Linked DNA regions of Canis lupus familiaris. The protein of the gene in region 3 interacts with the protein of the main gene of each other region in a pairwise test. Links are inferred from orthologs where the notes say so. Each region holds a gene or a part of one and is shown on either strand. Other genes may lie near its edges.

Region 1 (4,112 bases), on a different chromosome or scaffold from region 3:
GGCACCGTGGCTAGGTGTGCATCTGCAAAGTATGCATCCTACATGCCCTTCCCATCCACAAGACAACGGAGGTTTAAATGAGATTGTGCATTTGAAAGCTGCTTGACTACAAATGCAAAGTACACACTTGCTCCCCATTATCGCAGCCCCATGAGCATGTGTGCCCTTTCTGAAGGGCATCAGAGGGAGAGTCAGAGGATGAAGCCACTTGTCAGTGATGCTATCATTTAATCACTGGATGTCCATTCCTGATGATTAGCCAAAGCCCTGAGATTCACACTGATTCATGAAGCAAACATAGAGAATGTAAAATCACCTTCCTTTATGTCACACTGTTCATTTGAAGACTCTTCACTGTTGAGTGATTCTGCCGGGAAATCAGTGTGGGAAATGTAAACCCTCTGCTCACTCGGAGTGCAGAGGTTTGCCTGGGTGTGCATACATTTCTGGAAGCAAAACCCTGGAGGCTGAGACCTGGGAGACCTGTGTCTTACCTCTTATCAGCCCTTGGATCCCAGGCAAACCAGTTAACCTCTATGGGCCTCTATTTCTTATCTCTTGAAGGGAGGTTTTGGGGGTCACTGGGCTTCCTTCCCCCCTTTATGGCAGAGAAAATAAAATGGCAGCATATACTGGAGTGTGCCCTACTTTGTACCAAATCTGAGTTTTAATCCCAACTGCCTCTCTTACTGGCTGTATGACTTTGGGGAAATGCCTTTACCTTTCTGATCATAGGTTTCTTTCTGTGAAAACTGGCTGTGAAGGACTGCTGCGGGAGTAAGGCAGCCCAGTTCAGCGCGGGGCAGCCCCATCCTGGCCCACCTTCAAGATAGGCTCCTACTAAAGCACAAGATTGTGCCTAGAAGGGACAGGTGGGTGGCTCAACAGTTGAGCATCTATCTGCCTTCGGCTCAGCGCATGATCCTGGAGTTCTGGGATCGAGTCAAGCATCGGGCTCCCCACTAGGATCCTGCTTCTCCCTCTGCCTATATCTCTGCCTCTCTCTCTATGTTTCTCATGAAAAATAAAAAAATAAAAAAAATAAAAAATAAAAAGATTGTCCCTACCAAATGGCTATTTGGTATCTCCAGGGTCCTCATCCCAGACATAGGCTGCTTGGTGACCCAGCCACTGATTTTATTGTGAACCCTAATTTCTCCAGCAAAGAAACATTTTGAACTGGCCATGAGCAGAGTGACTTTGTCTGAGAAGCAAGCAAGTGGCTGTTGTTCCATCTCCTACTCTGGGCTGACCTCCTCCTACCCAGGGAGGGGGAGGGGAAGGAGGGTTGGGGAAGCCTGATGTCACACAGCCCTACATAAGGGCCTCCTTTAGGCTCCTGCGGGGCGGTTTGGAAGCAGCTGAGGAATGAGTTAGGTCCTGGTTGTGGGATTTTTTTTTTTTTTAAGTCAGACACAGACACAGCTGTTGAGCAAAATGCAGACACCACAGAAAACCCAAAGCCTCAGACCCTTCAAGCAGAGGAAGAGTTTAGGTAAAATTCTAAGGGTAGCTGTCTGGGTTGCTAGGGAGAGGGAAGAGGATACAGACTTCTCCTGCTGTTTACTTATTCTTTTATCTTTGAAATATTCACAGCAACCAGACAAGAGGAAGTTGCCGGAATCCGAGCAAAGTTCCCAAACAAGATCCCGGTAAGACCGCATTACGCTTTTTGAAAAGGAGTATACTCTGTTCCTTGAGAGAAAAAAAGAAAAAATAAGAAGAAGAAAACAAAACAAAACAAAAAAACCCCACTGTCTCTCCCTGTTCTAATTTTCTAAGATACTGAGACCTCTGAGTTACATTCTTGGGGGTTGACCCTCTCGACAGGTGATAGTGGAGCGCTACCCCAGGGAGAAGTTCCTGCCCCTACTGGACAAGACCAAGTTCCTGGTCCCACAGGAGCTAACCATGATCCAGTTCCTCAGCATCATCCGGTAGGTGACAATGTGCACGCTGGGGAGTGTGCTAGGTGAGGCTTTTTCTGTTTGCTTTGTTAATTGGTTTGGTTTTGAGGAGGGGGAGAATCTGTAAGAGAGGGAAAAGATTTCCTTTGCGACTCACCTCTTAGATTCTGTAGGGCCCAGAAAAGATGCTCTGAGAAGTAATTTGACTTAAACAGGCGAGGAAAATCCCACAGATAGCAAGTTTAAAGAGAGTAAGAGCCGCCAACTTTTCTAAGAAGTTTTGGAAGTAGTCCTGGCTCTGAGACTAGTCCAAAAGATCTGTTCTTCCACAAGCTGTTTAAAACTCAGTCTTAAAAAAAAAAAAAAAAAAAAACACTCAGTCTTCATTTTCCCAGCAGACACACGGTACCTTTAAAGTGTCTGTGCCCTGGAGGAATGAGGACCTCTTCCAAAGGCAGGCACTCCCTTCACTGGGAGGGAGGACAGGAAAGGTGTCCCCAGACATGTTCCTCCTTTAGGTTAAGGCACAGCAAAGAAAATGGGGCTATTTTCAAAGCTTAAGAGGGGTAAGTACTGTCACTTGACACATGGATTCAACAAAAATGATCTGAGAGTAATTACCAGAGGGTAATTCTTCATGGGGTTGAAAAGTCCAGAAAGGCCAGCCCTTGCAAGCTGCATAGCTGCTTTTTCTTTAAGAATTCATTATGAGTGTGTGTTTGTCTCTGTCTTGTTTGTCTTGATGAGTTATTTAAGAGGATCTTGATATCCTCTCCTTGGGGAGCTTATGTTGGCCCCGTGTGAATGGAAGTGCCTAAGGGATGACCAGTGTTAGGATTATATCCCAACATGTTGATGTAACAAAGAGTGACCACCCCTCACCCACCTCCCTTAGAAACAACTCTCTGAGTTCTGAGAGCCATTCTTTTTCTCCTTCCCAGACAGAGGTCATCCTTTGTTTTCTACCAGCCCTAATCCCCTCTCTATGCCAACATTTAATGCTCCAGAATGTTTATTGAGCATCAGTGATGTTCTGGATTCTTTCTAGGCTGTCTTTAAAGCAGTGAACAGAATAGACAAAAAAAAAAAAAAATCTCTCCCCAGAACCTCTTCCTCCAGAGGATGCCACAACCCTCGTTGAAAGATAGTATAGCAAAGGACAGGAGGTGGGTGTGTGGACTGTGTGGAGTGTTTCCTGCAGAGCTGAAGGCAATGCACTGGTCCCCAGCTCCATCCATTCCCGTTGTAGAACACTTCTTTTACCCAGACAACCATGCAATTATCAAAGCTGAAATCTTCAGGGTTATTTTGGGAGAGGTTATCTGGTTATAAAATTAATCAATTTCTAGCCACCTGTGTCCCAAAACCACATGGACCTAGCTCACCTGAAAGTTCAAATCTCTGAGACCAGAGTGGGCAAGCTATGCCTACCTCTCCAAGTAGAGCAAATGGAGGTGTGCTGCAGGGGAGACAGATCCCTTACCTGAGTGTCTACGCTGTCATGTTGTCCTCCACTCCAGGATGAACCAGGCCTCAGATTGACCTTGACATTATAGCCTGTCCAAATGAACTAAGCTGCTTCTCTATCTCCTTGAGGTGGGGGGAGAGATGGCAGAGGGAGGAAAGGGTAGTAACCTTTCAACATTTCATTCCAAAGCTATTTAACAATGAGATGCTGGGAGATACTGTAATCACTTTTGTATGTCTGGGGCTGTACATACCTTGAGTTTGAGAGCAAAGAGGGCTTAGCATTTTTGTGTTGGTATGTCTCCTAGTTAATGATAGGATGGCCTTACTCTTGGTGTGGAGTGCAGGTGTCTGCTTTCAACAAGCCCTCCCGGGTAATTGTCAAGTTTGAAGACAATGCACTAGAGTGGAGAGGTGGGCTCCTTGGGTAGACATGTTTGCCGTGGACAGACAGAGGTAAGCCAGGGCTTGGGTCAGGGGCCCATTCCATGCCCAGTTAAAGTTTTCCCTTCCTGCCCCCCACTCCTCCCCACCCAGGAGCCGCCTGGTCCTTGGGGCCACTGAAGCCTTTTATTTGCTGGTGAACAATCGGAGCCTGGTCAGCATGAGTATGACCATGGCAGAAGTCTACAGGGACTACAAAGATGAGGACGGCTTTGTGTACATGACCTACGCCTCCCAGGAGATGTTTGGCTGCTTAGGGTCGGAGCAAATCCTGCCGTCCTCTCCAGTGCATGT
Region 2 (3,026 bases), on a different chromosome or scaffold from region 3:
AGGAAAGGTATGCAGAGGGGTCAGGAAGGCTGGAATGTTAGGTTACTCAGACAGGTCCTCATGGAGAAGGTGGGTTGTGAGCAGTGTCCTGATGGGTGAGAAGAGAGTTAGGCTGAGTGGTCTGGTCAGAGGGAATAGCCAGTACAAAGGTCCCAAGGCACCTATGGCTGATATGAGAAAATGAGTAGGGAAGGGGCAGATCCGAGAGGACCCCTTGGGCCATTGCTGGGACTTTGGCCTTCTCCATGGGTAAGATGAGGGGCCTGCTGCCGTGTGCTAATGCAGTCAGCACGGGTGCTCGAGAGCTGATAGCTGGTCCTGGTAGCTTTAAATGGGTCCTGGTGGGAGTGTTTACATGGAAATTGCCCCCCACCCCCAGAGACCCAGGTGTTAAACACTTATAGCCAACCTGAGAGGCATGGGAGAGTTTGGAGCATTGTCTCCCTCAGACACCCCTCAGACACCCCTCAGACATCCTCTGACCCACAAGTCTTGGGAGGCTGAGTAATCAAAAAGAAGGTATTACAAGTTAGGAAATATCAAAAATAAGAGTTGAATGTCCGTTGAGTTCAGGCTTCACCATCTCTGCTCTAGACTGTGCAGTTTTATGACTAACAGACAGTGAGCTCACGCGTATAGGCTGCCACTATCTCCACATTAGAGGCTGGGAGCGTGTATGAGGCTGCCGTAGCTACGAATGATGCTGTGTGTATGTTCCTAACCTTTGGGTCATAGAACTGTGGCTATATGTATGGGTGGGCAGCCGGCCCAGCTCAGGCCCCCTCCCCTGAGCTCTGCTCCCCACAGGACATCCGGGGCCTGGAGAGCCCGCGAGAAAACCTGGAACAGCCATTCCTGAGTGTGTTCAAGAAGGGGCGGCGGAGGGTACCTGTGAGGAATCTGGGCAAGGTTATACACTACGCCAAGGTCCAGCTACGATTCCAACATAGCCAGGTGGGGCCAGGCTGGGCCAAGTGGGGGGTGCTCGGGTACCAGCCTGGGGCTTGCCCCCCGCCCCCCAGCCCCTCAGACCGGCAGCCCTACTCTCCCCCAGGACGTCAGCGACTGCTACCTGGAGTTGTTCCCCTCCTACCTCCACTTCCAGGCCCATGGTTCCAAAGGACTCACCTTCCAGGTGAGGGGAAATAGGCAAAAGGAGGAGGCTAGGGGTAGAGGGAGAGAGCAGCCTCCTGGGAGGTGGGTATCCAAGTCCCACTAGGGGTCCCCCAGCCCTCCCCTCCCCGCATGTGCTCTGGCAGGGGCTGTTACCACTGATGGAGCTGAGTGTCTGCCCGCTTGAGGGGTCCAGAGAGCATGCCTTCCAGATCACAGGTGTGTGGGGGGCGTGAGGGCTGCTCAGTGACTTTGGACTCTGGCTGGGCTTCAGAACACTGGAGGGACCCTGCATGCACTGAGGGATCCAGGCTTTTCCTCCAGTGGGTGCATGAGCATTTACCAAGCTGGGTGGGGTGCAGGGCAGCGGGCAGGAGACCTCCAGAGCTGTGAATGTGGCCCTGTTAGTGGCTGTTGGTCCTGGCCCCGGGGTGCGCACAGAGCCCTTGGGTGGGGCCTTTCCTGTGGGCTGCTGGCCCCAGCCCACTCCACCCCTCTACCCCCAGGCCCGCTGCCTGCTCCCCTTCATGTGCTCTGCCCCAGCCAGACTGAGCTAGGCCGCTGGCTGTTCCACCTGGAAAAGCAGATAGCCCTCGTGGGAGGGTTGCAGCGCTGCCACTTGGCACCCCCTCAGGTCAGTGCTGGGAACCCCCATGCCCTTTTCCTATCTCCCCTGTGCCAACACCCTCTGCCTGCCCCTGATCCCCCTTCTCCAGGGTGCCCCTGAGGATGAGCTGCCCTGGACTCTGCAGCACAGTCTGACCCAGCTACGGATGGAATCAGGGCATCAAATGGTGGGCAGTGCCATCTGTGCCTCGAGGGTCAAGCTGCAGCATCTGCCCTCACAGGTGCGTGGCCAGGTGGGAGTGGGGCAGTACCCAGGGGTGGGAGGAGATGGGGGCACAGGGTAGGTGGGAAGACATGGGGGAGGGCACAGAAAATGGGGAGGAGTTTAGGAGGCAAGTGGGGTCAGGCCCTCACACACACTGGTTGGTTGAGGCCCCATTCTGCCCTTTGACCCCTTCACAGGAGCAATGGGACCGGCTCCTGGTCCTGTACCCAACATCTCTGGCTATCTTTTCCGAAGAAGCAGATGGCCTTTGCTTTAAGGTGGGTCCCTCCCCACTGTGGACCCACCCCAGGGAGACGCCCTGTGTGTGGGGGTGGGAGAGGGCAGCGGCTTAGGAGGAACCTGTATTTCGGGGCCTGTTGGGACAGAGTTTGCTGGCCCCACCCCCACCCCCAGCCTGCTGTCCTGGTCAGTCTGGTCTCAGCTGTGATGTGGCCAAGGAAGGGTCTGTGCTTCAGCACCCATTATCATCCTAAAGGGTCCACCACCACCAGCAGGACTATCACGTGGGGAGGTGGCATGGGGGCAGAACCACTCCTGGGAGGTACTCTTGTGCTGGGCCCCAGTATCCCTGAGAGGGGCCTATACTTTTGAGTGGACATTTTCCTGGTGCCTGAGGGGTGTGTGCATGCACGGGCGTGTGTGTGTGTGTGTGTGTGTGTGTGTGTGTGTGTGTATGCATGTATGTTTATGAGAGTCCTTCTGGGGCTGGAGTGAAGCCTCCACTTGTGCCTGCCATTGGCTGATGAAGGCCCCACCCAGAGTCCAGGGGTAAAGGGATCCCTCAGGACAGACAGGGAGCCCTGGCCTCCCTCGGGGATGTCAGCCTTAGCCCTGCCTTGCCCTCTGCCTGCCATCTGAGGGCCCAGCCCAGCTCTGGAGGGTGAGACAGAAGTATGGGCCCAGGCTAAGGCTCCATCTTTCATCACTGCCTGGCACAGGCGGAACTCCCACTCAGCGCCATCCACATCAACCTGGAAGAGAAGGAGAAGCAGATCCGCTCTTTCCTGATTGAAGGTGGGCAGAGGCCCAGCCTGGGAGGGAGGGCATGAGCCAGCTCTTC
Region 3 (3,513 bases):
TCTCATGAATAAATAAAATCTTTGAAAAAATAATAATAAGCAGGCTATGACCAAAAAAAATGAAGTTACATATACAGAAGCTTTATATGGGGAACCTGGGTAGCTCAGTTAAGCGTCTGTCTGCAGCTCAGATCATAATCCCAGGATCCTGTGATCAAGCCCCACTTTAGGCTCCCTACTCAGCATGGGGAGTCCGTTTTTGTTTCTCCCTCTGCCTCTCCCCCAGCTCATGCTCACAAGCTCCCAAATAAATAAAATCTTAAAAAAAAAAAAAAGGAAGCCTTATATGGCACACTGGTAAAGTTATTTGGTCTTGGCGTTATTCTACAGATAATGAAAAACTAAGAGTTTGAAACAAAAAGAAGATATGTTCAGATTTTCATTTTATAATATAGTTTATATACAGTACTTTGAAGAACAGATAAGGTAGGGGGACAAGAATGAAAACAGGGAAAACAAGTGCAATAATTTTGGAAAGGGCATAAAACTAGAGCACTGATATCACAGATACAAAAATACATATGCAATAAAATGTAAAGAAATGGTGTTTGAATAGATTTGAAAGGAAAGTAATTAGCTTTTGGCTTAGGCAATAGGCCATTAACTAAAAATTGAGGGGAAAAAAAAACTTCAAAGGAAAAAGGTAAAGATTCATCTTGAAATGCAATTTATCATACATCAGCCTACATACCTACATATGCAAAGACATCCCATTGCCCAAAATAGAAACCTACATTTTAATTTTAGCCTATAACTAAAGGTCTCCATAGATAGTCTGAAGCTTAATTCCAACATTACCTCCCTCTACTTTCCTAAATGAAGGTCATTTTCTAGTCAAACTAACTTGTCTCAATAACATTCTCAACTCTGTGGCTCTGCTTATACCATTTTCCTGCCAGAAATGCCCCTCCTTTCCCTCAATCTTATTTCCTTGCTCTACTTTTGTCTGACCAATTCCTATACAAAACACCAATTTTCACTCAGCTTCTTTAACTTGATAACCCATACTTCACATAAAATCAAACCAGTACTAACTTCATAAAAATGCTTACAATGAATGTATCCCCATTTTGGAATTTGACTCAAACAATAAATAGATTAAAAAATAGTAAATGATTCCTCTATCATCAAAATCAAGGAAGGGATTCAAAAAAGAAATGAAACGTCATTAGATGCCAAAACTTTCTTTGTCCAATAGTTTTTCGGCCCTCCTCACTCTAAAAGGCTGACTTTCACTTCTAGATACCTGTGTTTCATTCTGGCAGCTGTTCTTTCTTTCTACTTTGTTGTAACTTATACACACCATGCAATCAAAATTTCAAGACCCTTAAAATCATATCTAAAACTCATTCTGAGGGAGAATCTAGAGGAACTGAGGAGAAAAGTTTTATTATTTGGACATTTACGACATTTTGATTGTTGAAAGGACACTTTTTAATTTTATTTAAGTAATCTCTACACCCAATGTGGGGCTCAAACTCACAAACCCAAGATCGAGAGTCACATGTTCTTCCAACTGAGCCAGCCAGGCACCCTAAGGACTCACCTCACGTTTTAGTTATCCACTACATTCTTAAGAGTTGAAATTGCCAGTAAATTTCTAGCACAGAGAAGCACCACCATAAAGATCACCTCAAAGTAATTCTCAAGCAACTACTATACAAAATGACTAGCAAAAGGTAAGAACTGGGATTCCTGTCATCAGAGAGTTTACTATTTAGTCATGTAAAAACAGAATACTCTTAATAAAATGGGGCAGCCCGGGTGGCTCAGCAGTTTAGCACTGTCGTCAGCCCTGGGCCTGATCCTGGAGACCCAGGATCAAGTCCCATGTCGGGCTCCCTGCATGAAGCCTGCTTCTTCCTCTGCCTGTGTTTCTGCCTCATGAATAAATAAAATTTAGAAAAAAAAAAAAAAAAAAGCATAAAATGACATGAGCAATAATTAATCAACGTAGAATAGAAAAATAACACGGCTGTAGAGTTGTATAAAATTAATTATAAATGACTGAAGAGATAGTAAATGATAAAGCAACTCAAAGGAAAAGACCTTTTTTCAAATAAGGAATGGAAAAAATGGAAGGGAAAGAAAGGTTCCAAAAAGTGTTTCACAGACCTTTTGATCAGAGAGACGGGCAAAACTGGTGAACTTTAGTTCCCAGTATCGTATACCACCCTGCACTATTAGGTGTTTCATGTTTATAAAGCATTTAAGTTTACAAATGTAAAAAGACCCTTATCGCAGAGTGAAGACAAGGCTAATACAAGCTACTTATCAACCTGCTTAAAAAGAAAATAGAGTACCTATACCTACATGGAAGAAACATGCAACAAACTGTTCTTACCTTGAATATACCAACCCAATCTTTTGGATGTGGATGGATATATGGAGTTAAGGTGTAATGACATTCCAGGTGTGCATTAGGAAGATAACTCTTGGCCACATTTTGAAAGATGACATGGGCAAAGTTGGAAGTCTGCAAGGGGACTTCTTGAAAGGATGTCATTGTGAATCTGAAACAAGCAAATCATACAAGTTGAATGATACCAACTAACACAAAGTTTATACCTTCAGAAAATACACAAAACTAAATGCAAATTACAAGAGCATCTGCATGCCATAATTATTGAGAAGACACACACTTGGAATTCCTCCTTAAAAACATGATTGAGGGCAGACCCGGTAGCTTAGCGGTTTTGCACCGCCTTCCGCCCAGGGCGCGATCCTGGAGATCTGGGATTAAGACCAACGCCAGGCTCCCTGCATGGAGCCTGCTTCTCCCTCTGCCTGTTTGTGTGTGTCTCTCTATCTCTAATAAATAAATAATTAAAAAAAACATGATTGAATATATAAAAATACAAACTGATGGAATGCCTGGGTGGCTAAGTGGTTGGATGCATCTGCCTTTGGCTCAGGGTGTAATCCCAGAGTACCTGAGTCAAGTCCCACATCAGGCTCCCTGCATGGAGCCTGCTTCTCCCTCTGCCTATGTCCCTGCCTGTGTCCCTCATGAATAAACAAAATCTTTTTAAGAAATAAAACTACAGGGGATCCCTGGGTGGCGCAGCGGTTTGGCGCCTGCCTTTGGCCCAGGGCGCGATCCTGGAGACCCGGGATCGAGTCCCACGTCGGGCTCTCGGTGCATGGAGCCTGCTTCTCCCTCTGCCTGTGTCTCTGCCTCTCTCTCTCTCTCTCTCTCTCTGTGACTATCATAAATAAATAAAAATTAAAAAAAAATTTAAAAAAAAAAAAAAGAAATAAAACTACATCTGCAAGACATAAATGTTTCCCATATTTTGTGCTCTACTTTTGAGAAAAAGGATACAACTGAGGATTTACTCAAAAAATCTATACAGTATCACAGACTCAGTACAATTATTGATTGTATACTACATATAAGAAACTATGACAATGTCCCTATAGTACTTGCTCCTGTATCATCATAAAAATCCCCATAATGTGACAGGAAAACCTGGGCAAGCTTTTTGCTAACCAAATGAATCTAATTTACTT
Region 4 (4,142 bases), on a different chromosome or scaffold from region 3:
ACACCTAGTACCCCCGCTTCACATCACCAGGACATGCTCAACCCTGCTCCACCTGCCCTGACGTGCCTGACCGCTGAAAATGGCCGGGGGGGGGGGGGGGGGGTCTGCCCTGCCCACCTGGGGTCGGGGATGCCCCTGCTAGCCCCACACACCTGGTCACGCCCTGTTCACCTACACAGGCCAGGCTCCTTCCCACCTGTCTGTGTGTAGCAAGGCCCCAGCTCACCCGCCCAGCCTGCCCCCTCCTGGCCTCCACGAGCCTTTCCTGGACACACTGACACCCCCAGCCCTGCCCAGCTCTACCCATGCTCACCCGGGCCCGCAGCTGGCACTGACGCAGCCGGCACTTCTGCCGGATCTTGTTGGGGCCCCCAAACTTCTTCATGTCCCGACAAAAGTCACAGTGGCCACAGTCTTCGGTGCGCCGGCAGGCCTCACACTCGCCACACATGCGGGCTGACCGTTTGATCTGCTGCTGCTGCTGCTGCTGCTGCTGCTGCTGGTGATGCTGAGGGGAGAGGCCCAGTACAAAAATCAGGAACGTGTACGGGGCCTGCGGGAGGCTCAGCTTACCTATCCCAGCCCCAGCAGCCACTCACCTGGCTGGGTGTGGCCACCAAGGGCTGTGGAGAGGATTTGTGGGGCGAAGCAGAGCCCCGAGCAAGCATCGCCCCAACCCCTGTCCCTGACCCCGCCCGACGCTGCAGGTCTGGATCCGGGGCAGGCCTCTTGCGCCCTCCACCCTCATCCCGGGGCTCACTGCCGTCTCGCTCATTGCTGTCCCGCTCCCGTGACTTCTTGTGCCGATAACGGATTTCCAGCTTGGGGTCTTTCTCTGTGGGGAAGACAGTGGGGCCAGGGTGGGTGGACCCTGAGGGATTCGGAGGGTTCCTCTTCATCTTGGTCCCCCCCACCTTCTCCCCGTCACTCCTCCGGGGCAGGGCTACCCCGCTGGGGGACGCTCTAGCCAAGCGCCCGTTGGAGTCTCCGCTGCAGCTCACCACAAACCGAGTCCCTCGGCCCGGGACCCACCCTCCTTGAAGGCTTCTCCCTGGAGGCAGGTGGGTGTGCCCCCCGTCCAGGCCGCCCCCTCACCTCGGCACTCCCGACAGTACCACTCCCGGATGGCCTTGGCCATCTTCTCAGTGATCCGGATGCAGTCCCCATGGAACCACTCATTGCAGTTGTCACACCCGCTGCAGAGGATGGGGTGAGTGGTGCAGATGTGAGGGGCCGCACCCATCAGCCTCACCCAACCTCGCCGGCGTCAGCCCGCCCGCCTCTCCCCGGCTCACATCATGAAGCAGTTGATGTCTGGTTTGCGGCAGATGCAGTAGATGGGCGCGTTCTCGCCGTTCTCCGACTTGCTGTCCTCCCCAGCGTCTGGAGGCTCTGGGTCGGAGCCGTCCCCCTCCTGCGGGACGGTGCCTTAGAGCAGCCCCACCACGGCCTCCACAGACCGCGACCGTCTGCCCACGCTTCCCACCGCGGCTCCTCGCGACCCTCCCGGCCCGGCCCACGCCGGCACCCCGACCTCCCGCCCCGCCCCGCTCACGGTCACGGTCGCGGTCACGGTCACTAGCGCCCGGGCAGCCCCGCCCCCTCGCGCCTCCCCGCCGGCCCGACGCCGACTGCCCCGCTCGCTACGGGCCGCCGGGCAGGCTCAGCCCAGACGCCGGGTCCCGCCGCCCCGCAGTCCCCGAGCGGGCCCCCGACGAGCTGCCGAAAGGCGTCCCCACTAACTTCCATCACGGAGCCGCGCAGGGGCCCGTCACAAAACTCCCAGGTGGCTCACACGTCGGAACAAGCTCGGAACCCCGGACCCCGACATTCCACCCGCAGCCCCCTCTGAGGCTCCCCACAGGCCCCCGCCCGAGCGCCCGCGGACGCCCCTGACGGTTCACCACAGACCCCCCGAGTCTGCCCACGGACCCCCCGCCGCCGACCCGCCGACCCCTACCGCCGACCCTCCCCGGCCCCGTACTTACCATCTCTCCGCTCTCGGCGCACCCCTCTGCGACCCCCGCCAGCGACCCGCGAACCCGCACAGACCTCTCGGCGGCGTCCGCGGCCGTTGTAAAGGCGCCCACAACTACTTCCGCTTTGGTCGCGCCTCCCGGGCACCGTACTCTTATTGCGCAGGACTAATGCGTCGGCTCCGCACCAAACAAGTCGATCCGCCGCCTAGAGCCGCCACGGTCTCTCAGGCGCCACCATCTTGACGACCAAGACCGTACGGCGGTCAGGGCCGTAAACTAGTAGGAAACATGGCCGCACCTATGTGGCCGCTTTCGCGAGGGCACCGCCACCTTGTCGGCCGACTCCGTACGGTGGCCGCTCGTACGGACTCAACGTTACAGGAAATATGGCGGCGCCTGTGCGCGGCTTCCACGCAGATGCCGTCATCTTGGAAACTGATTCCGTAAGATGGCCGAGTCCGTACGTTCACGGGCAATGCATGGCAGCGTCCTACCCGCGGTCTCCAGGAGGGCGCCGCCATTTTGGCATCGACTCCGTACGATGGCGGCTTGCCCTGCAGAGAAGTTCAAAGGAAAAGCGGCTGCTCCCGAAACACCACGTGCCTCGAGTTACACTCCGTCTTCCATTCACTCACGTTTCCCTCCCACGTGTGTTAATGGGGCGCCAGCGGACTGTGCCCATGTTCCCCCGTTCTGTGTCTGACGTCATCCTCACCACCCTTTCGCGCCCCGGGTCCTCCTCGAAGGTCCTCAGCCCAGCCCGGCGCCCTGCAGCCTCGGCCCTTGCGGGAGCGCGGTCACCCTCCGAACGGAAGGATGCAGGTGAAGGGCCCGACCCTGGTGACAAGGGGCCGAGCCACAGCAGACCCCGGAACCCGAGACACCGGCTACACCGCGTCTTCCCCTGACCCCGCCACCGCCGGGATGTGGATTCGCCGGGATCCCCGTGACGTCCACTCTGGCTCTCTTCCATCAGACATACTCAATTCTCTCCTATGAAGTTAGTTCTTACAATTTTTTAATTAGACTCCGTACATTTAAAAAAAAAAAAAAAACCGGACAGGTCGGAGCTCTGGACACGTCCTTAAGGCCAGGCTGTAACTCAGGCAACCTGAGCGGTCGGGCGGGTTTTAACGGGTCAGCGCCCCCGCCCCAACCCCCAGCAGATGCGCGAGCCCGGGTCACAGGGAATGTCCGCGTTCAGGGTCACGACTCTATTCAGGTTGGGGGGGCGGGGGGCCTGGGGAAAATGAAACTTGTCACCGGGTGCTGACAGTCGTTCTGGATTTCTTGGCTCTGGACATCATAGTAACGTACTTGCTCCTGATGATTCTCCTGAGGGCGGTGTCGGGTCTGATTTTTGTTTTTGTTTTCACCTTTCCTAGACATTTTTACTCGTGGCCCCTCCACACCGTCACAGACAACCGAAGTCACAGGAGCTGCATCATGGACTGTGTGACCCTCTCTCCTTAAAACGCGTCTTCTTCTTCTTCTTTTTTTTTTTTAGAATTATTTATTTATTTATGATAGTCACAGAGAGAGAGAGAGAGGCAGAGACACAGGCAGAGGGAGAAGCAGGCTCCATGCACCGGGAGCCCGACGTGGGATTCGATCCCGGGTCTCCAGGATCGCGCCCTGGGCCAAAGGCAGGCGCCAAACCGCTGCGCCACCCAGGGATCCCCTAAAGCCCGTCTTTAATCCACAAAGTGGACCTTCAGATCCAGACTTGCCTCCTTTTTCTAGTTAATACTGAATTAATCTTAATTTGATTGTAACTTATTTTAATTAACATAATTCTTCGAATTTAGTTCATTTAATGTATTAAATTAACTTTAGTTAGTATAAATGAATATGCATGTGTTGGTAAGATACTCAGATAAATTTAACCAATAAATTTCAAATAATTCAATTTTAACTTAATTACAATTTGATGTATGAAAGTAAATTTAAGGGAATATAGTTCAAGTTTAACTTAAATTAATTACTCATTTAATTTAACATCACTGACTTGACTTACTAAATTTAATTTTATTTAAAATATTAGTTCAGGGGAATCCCTGGGTGGCTCAGAAGTTTAGCGCCTGCCTTTGGCCCAGGGCACGATCCTGGAGTCCCAGGATCGAGTCCCACATCGGGTTCCCAGCGTGGAGCCTGCTTCTCCCT
Region 5 (4,212 bases), on a different chromosome or scaffold from region 3:
CAATGAAAAAGCCTATTTCCAGTAAGAAGCTTTGCAATTTTAACGGTCAATGATAAAGTCTTTCAGAACCTCTCCACTGAACTTCACAACATCAGAATAGGACATAGAATTATAATAATAATAATAATAATAATACAAGAATAAATTTTACACTTCCGAGAGCAGGCATTAGATTTCAATTATTTCAACTTAACTACATTTATTATCATTGTCCAGGTACCAACACTCAAATGCATTTCCCACCCTGTCTTCACCCTGGAATCCTGAAACATAATCTGCTGGTAGAAGGAAATAAAAGTCTGGAAATGGGCAAGGAAAGATGTTTCAGCCAGGGGGATGCTCATGATAAATGAAGGAAGCGGGGGGAGGGGGGTGGTGCAAAACCCAGCATCTACAACCCATGCCAATAGCGTAGGATGTTGTGAATTGATGCAACGTGGGATCTCTGCAGTGTGGAGCTGTGTGGAAAGCCACAAGCCTTAGCAGGGTGCCCCAACATACATCTTGGTTTCCAAGATGAAGGCAAAGATGGTTTTGGAGCATGAAGACATTCCCTAGGAAGTTTCATGGAGATTGCTAATCTCACTCCTGCACCATACTATTTGCCAGGGCAAGCTTCTAGTTGAGGAAGACTTGAAACCTGTGTAAGAGTGAGAAGAAACCTAGATTTTAGGGAAGCCATTCCTAGGTGGGTCTAGGCTCTCTTAAAGCCATTGATGAAGTGATTTAAAACTTGTGGTCCAAAATAGAGAGGTTAAAGTAGATGACCCAAGGTTGCTTCTGAGGAGTTTTCTGGTGATAGTTTTGGACCAGGATTCCAAATCTGATTGTCAATGAGGCCTGGGAGAAGTTATTCTCTGGGCCAGTTGGTAATCTTTCCTTCAGTTCCCTGAAGGTGGAACTGGGCAAAATTATTGCAGGGCACAAGCATAATGAAGCAATAAAAACATTACACCCATTTCCACTTTGTGGCATGGCCAGTCTCACAATCACTCATTCATCTGTCCATTGCTTAAAAAGCACTGCCTGCTCACCTGCTGAGAGCCATGCTGGATGCTGGGACTAAAAATCACAGGTGCCCTTATTCCCTGTCCACAGCCATGGCAACACAAGCACGGGTCCTGCTCAGGTTCCACACCACCCAAGGCAGACAGCTTTGCCTGGAAGCCAGATCTTCCAACACCTGCCCCTTGCAGTTCCCACAACACCATCCCTGTGCCTGCTGCTGCCAGACGGGAAGAGGCCGGAAGCAAAAAGATTTGAAACAAGCTAGGTGTTGCCTTTTGAGTTTTCCGAATCTTCTCTTAATCTCTTCTAATTTAAAGATCTTTCAGCAAAGACCTCAAATAGCACAAGCGCTCTTTGCCATATGTAAGACATGCAAATGTCAGTACTGTATAGCCCTGGGTCATCTCATTCATAGTTTTAGCCTTGCACACACTGTGGAATCGATCGCCTCCTGAAAAGAATTAGAACCCACCAGCCAAGTTCCCAGTTCTCGGACTTCTCCACGTTTAAGATGAAAGAATAAATTTTCCTGACCTATAACTGTAACGTCCTTACAGGTAAAGACATATGCTATCACCCTTACCATTTCTTTTACATTTGTCACCTCACTGACTTTTTTTTTTTTTTTTTAAATCAATAAATGCCTCATCGAATTTTTGGTAACTCTCACTCCTAAACTCCAAAACTTGTACACAGAATTGTTAAAAAGAGAAAAAAAAAAAACAAAAAACAAAGAAGCACCTTAGACGATGGGAATGGAGCTATAACCGGCTGCGTAACAACTGCAGACACTAGTGCTAAGGTCCAGGGGACTGATGAACCACGGTCCTCCCCAAAGGCTGCCCTGAGACACTTGACCAGACCAGCTTTCCAAGGAAAGAAGATCAGAGGCGGGGAGAACTGAAAACAAAGCGGTCTCAAAAGCGCTGAGCTCCTTCCTTACTTAATACCACTGCTTTCCTGAGAGGCCAGGTGGCAGGATGTGGGACGACCCGGGCTGACAACGACCGTCTGACTGTGGGGTAGGGGCTGGGGCAGGGGCCTCCAGGTCGCCGTCCACTGGAGCACCCGAAAAGCCGGCCAACGTCCCGCTTGAGCATGCACACTCCTCGCGCACTGCGGCGCCTGCAGCAGCTCAGCACCGGCCCTCCGCCCACCCGCCTCCCTGCACTGGGCTGCGGGGTCTGCAAGCCGACCCAGGGCAGGCTGGCTGGCCCGGGCCCCCACGCCCCCCCCGCCCGGCGGGTGGCCTGGCTCTGCACCCGCCGGGAAGAAGCCACGGCGGGTCGGCTCTGCAAGGTCTCCGTGTCCGCGAGCATCCAGAGCTTGATCGAAAAATAAAAAAGGCACGCAAAGGGGCAAAGCACCGAGGACCACGCGACCTGGCCGTCCGGGGGCTCCTCTCCAGCCGCCTGCTGCAGCTTACGTTCCTGGCAGCATCTACAAGGAACAGCTGGCCGGAGGGCTCCCGAGCTGTCACCCCAGCGTCGTGCGCGGCCGCCTCGACTCCCAGCACTTCACATCCCGCAGTGAGCGCCGACGGCCGACGAGCTCCGGGCCGGGCCCGGGCCGACAAGCTCCCGCCCGCGAGGAGCTGCCGGTGACGCACCCGCGCAGCCCGGGCCCCGCGACGCCGCTGGCAGAGGCACGGGCACGCGGCGGTTACCTGTCCGGCCGCGCGATCCTCTTCCAGAGTCCCAAGTCCGGGTCAGGTCCGGGCCGCGCGGAGGAGGCGCCCCATGGACGCCGGGGCTCGGCGCTCGCTCGCCGCGGGGCTGTGTGGCTCGCGCCCGCCGCCGCCGCCGCCGCCGCCGCCGCCGCACTTGTCCCGGCGGCTGCTGTCACCGCTCCGCCCCCGCGGGCTCCGAGCGCGCTGCACCGGCCCGCTGCGAGGACTGCAGACTGCCAGTTCTCTTTTTCCCTTTCTGTTTTACCGCCGGCGGAGAACGGGGATTTCCACCCGGGGACTTTCCAGTCACGTGACGCCCGGGCCGGCGCCGAGCCCCGCGGTCGCCGGCCGCCAGGGGGCGCAGGGGGCGCAGGGGGCGCGGGCGGCGCAGGAGGCCGGCGGCGCCCCGCCCCGCCCCGCCCCGCCCCGCCCCCCCGCGCGAGAAACTCCTGAGCCCCGCCCCCGGGTGTCCCCGCGTGAGTCACCTGGGCATTTCGGAAGCTGGCCCAACGTCACATCCATGTGGAAATCGCGGTGATGGGAACTGGAAATGAAATAGGTTCTTTTTTCTCAGCCGTTTTTCTGCAGAAAATCACCAACCGTGGAGAACAATAAGGGAAATAATAAAGAAAGAAAACCCTAAAAACCACCCGGGCGTCCGGGACCGCAGCCTTCGGGGCTGGGTTGGAAAAGCTAGGGCTGTGCACGTGATGAGCTCGTCGGGGAGCGCCCTACTCTGGGCCCCGGTGGGGATTTCACAACCCTCCGTGCGTCCCCATCCCAGCGTTCTGCCGCCCAGACGGCGGCCTGTTGGGGGTGACCTCCTGAGGCCCCACAGCCTTGAAATTTGCAGGAGCAAAACCTATCTTAGGTGAAGTTGGGAATCAGAGCAACTATCAGCCCTGTTCTGCACTTTACTGATTTCCCTTTCTCCCTTCCTGCACACCAGGTGCCCAGGGGGCTCGGCACGCAGGAACATTTCGGTTTAGAAATCATTTCTAGTCCATTATTACTGTCCTTGCGTGGCCCCCCTAAGGCCCTATTAGGAGCTCTTTTTCATGACCTGACAATTAGTTCAGGCCAAGGTGTCAAGGGCTGATAATACATTTTACCCACCCACGACCCCCACCCCTTATTAAATAGTGTGGTAACCCGCAGTCTTTACCCAAAGGACGTCCTGTGGAAATAGGTGTCAGCCACTTGGACAGTGGAGGTGCCTGAATTGCAGAGGGAGAGGCAGGCACTTTGACTGGCTAAGAGTCCCCCTTGGCGCATTTCTTAGAATAGCTAAACTAGAACCAGATTGAAATATTCTGTGCATTGTCCCCTTCTAGACTTACTTATACTAGTTGGGCCTCGTATCCCAGTTTTGGAATTAGAAAAATATGCTTTCCTCTCCAGTAAGGACCTGCAGAGACTGGATGGAGGACTGGATGAGGACCAGGTGGCACATTTTTGGCAAAGAGACACTCAGAGCGGAGAGTCAGAAGTGGCCAAGCTTCCAAGGCTGGTGCTGGCCATTTGAAACCAATGGC

The links.
Region 1: the proteins of TAX1BP1 (region 3) and MAP1LC3C interact in binary tests that used the Homo sapiens proteins (3 or more experiments, as listed by UniProt). The link is inferred for Canis lupus familiaris from reciprocal best matches to the Homo sapiens genes TAX1BP1 and MAP1LC3C.
Region 2: the proteins of TAX1BP1 (region 3) and PLEKHN1 interact in binary tests that used the Homo sapiens proteins (3 or more experiments, as listed by UniProt). The two-hybrid records come from large-scale screens. The link is inferred for Canis lupus familiaris from reciprocal best matches to the Homo sapiens genes TAX1BP1 and PLEKHN1.
Region 4: the proteins of TAX1BP1 (region 3) and CXXC1 interact in binary tests that used the Homo sapiens proteins (3 or more experiments, as listed by UniProt). The two-hybrid records come from large-scale screens. The link is inferred for Canis lupus familiaris from reciprocal best matches to the Homo sapiens genes TAX1BP1 and CXXC1.
Region 5: the proteins of TAX1BP1 (region 3) and TNFAIP3 interact in binary tests that used the Homo sapiens proteins (3 or more experiments, as listed by UniProt). The link is inferred for Canis lupus familiaris from reciprocal best matches to the Homo sapiens genes TAX1BP1 and TNFAIP3.

The regions. Positions count from the first base shown.
Region 1 is NC_049228.1:33,301,757-33,305,868, reverse strand, and holds the start of MAP1LC3C (microtubule-associated proteins 1A/1B light chain 3C), read left to right. Parts: upstream 1-1,311; 5' UTR 1,312-1,437; coding exon 1,438-1,495; intron 1,496-1,596; coding exon 1,597-1,652; intron 1,653-1,830; coding exon 1,831-1,937; intron 1,938-3,911; coding exon 3,912-4,112.
Region 2 is NC_049226.1:56,673,351-56,676,376, forward strand, and holds part of PLEKHN1 (pleckstrin homology domain-containing family N member 1), read left to right. Parts: intron 1-807; coding exon 808-954; intron 955-1,054; coding exon 1,055-1,135; intron 1,136-1,259; coding exon 1,260-1,332; intron 1,333-1,619; coding exon 1,620-1,747; intron 1,748-1,829; coding exon 1,830-1,961; intron 1,962-2,142; coding exon 2,143-2,223; intron 2,224-2,904; coding exon 2,905-2,980; intron 2,981-3,026. UniProt on the Homo sapiens protein: Controls the stability of the leptin mRNA harboring an AU-rich element (ARE) in its 3' UTR, in cooperation with the RNA stabilizer ELAVL1.
Region 3 is NC_049235.1:40,948,753-40,952,265, reverse strand, and holds part of TAX1BP1 (tax1-binding protein 1), read right to left. Parts: intron 2,514-3,513; 5' UTR 2,507-2,513; coding exon 2,345-2,506; intron 1-2,344.
Region 4 is NC_049228.1:78,682,939-78,687,080, reverse strand, and holds the start of CXXC1 (CXXC-type zinc finger protein 1), read right to left. Parts: upstream 2,804-4,142; 5' UTR 1,992-2,803; coding exon 1,989-1,991; intron 1,415-1,988; coding exon 1,296-1,414; intron 1,197-1,295; coding exon 1,096-1,196; intron 836-1,095; coding exon 600-835; intron 509-599; coding exon 314-508; intron 1-313. UniProt on the Homo sapiens protein: Transcriptional activator that exhibits a unique DNA binding specificity for CpG unmethylated motifs with a preference for CpGG.
Region 5 is NC_049222.1:30,483,171-30,487,382, reverse strand, and holds the start of TNFAIP3 (tumor necrosis factor alpha-induced protein 3), read right to left. Parts: upstream 2,811-4,212; 5' UTR 2,675-2,810; intron 1,714-2,674; exon of another isoform or gene 1-1,713. UniProt on the Homo sapiens protein: Ubiquitin-editing enzyme that contains both ubiquitin ligase and deubiquitinase activities.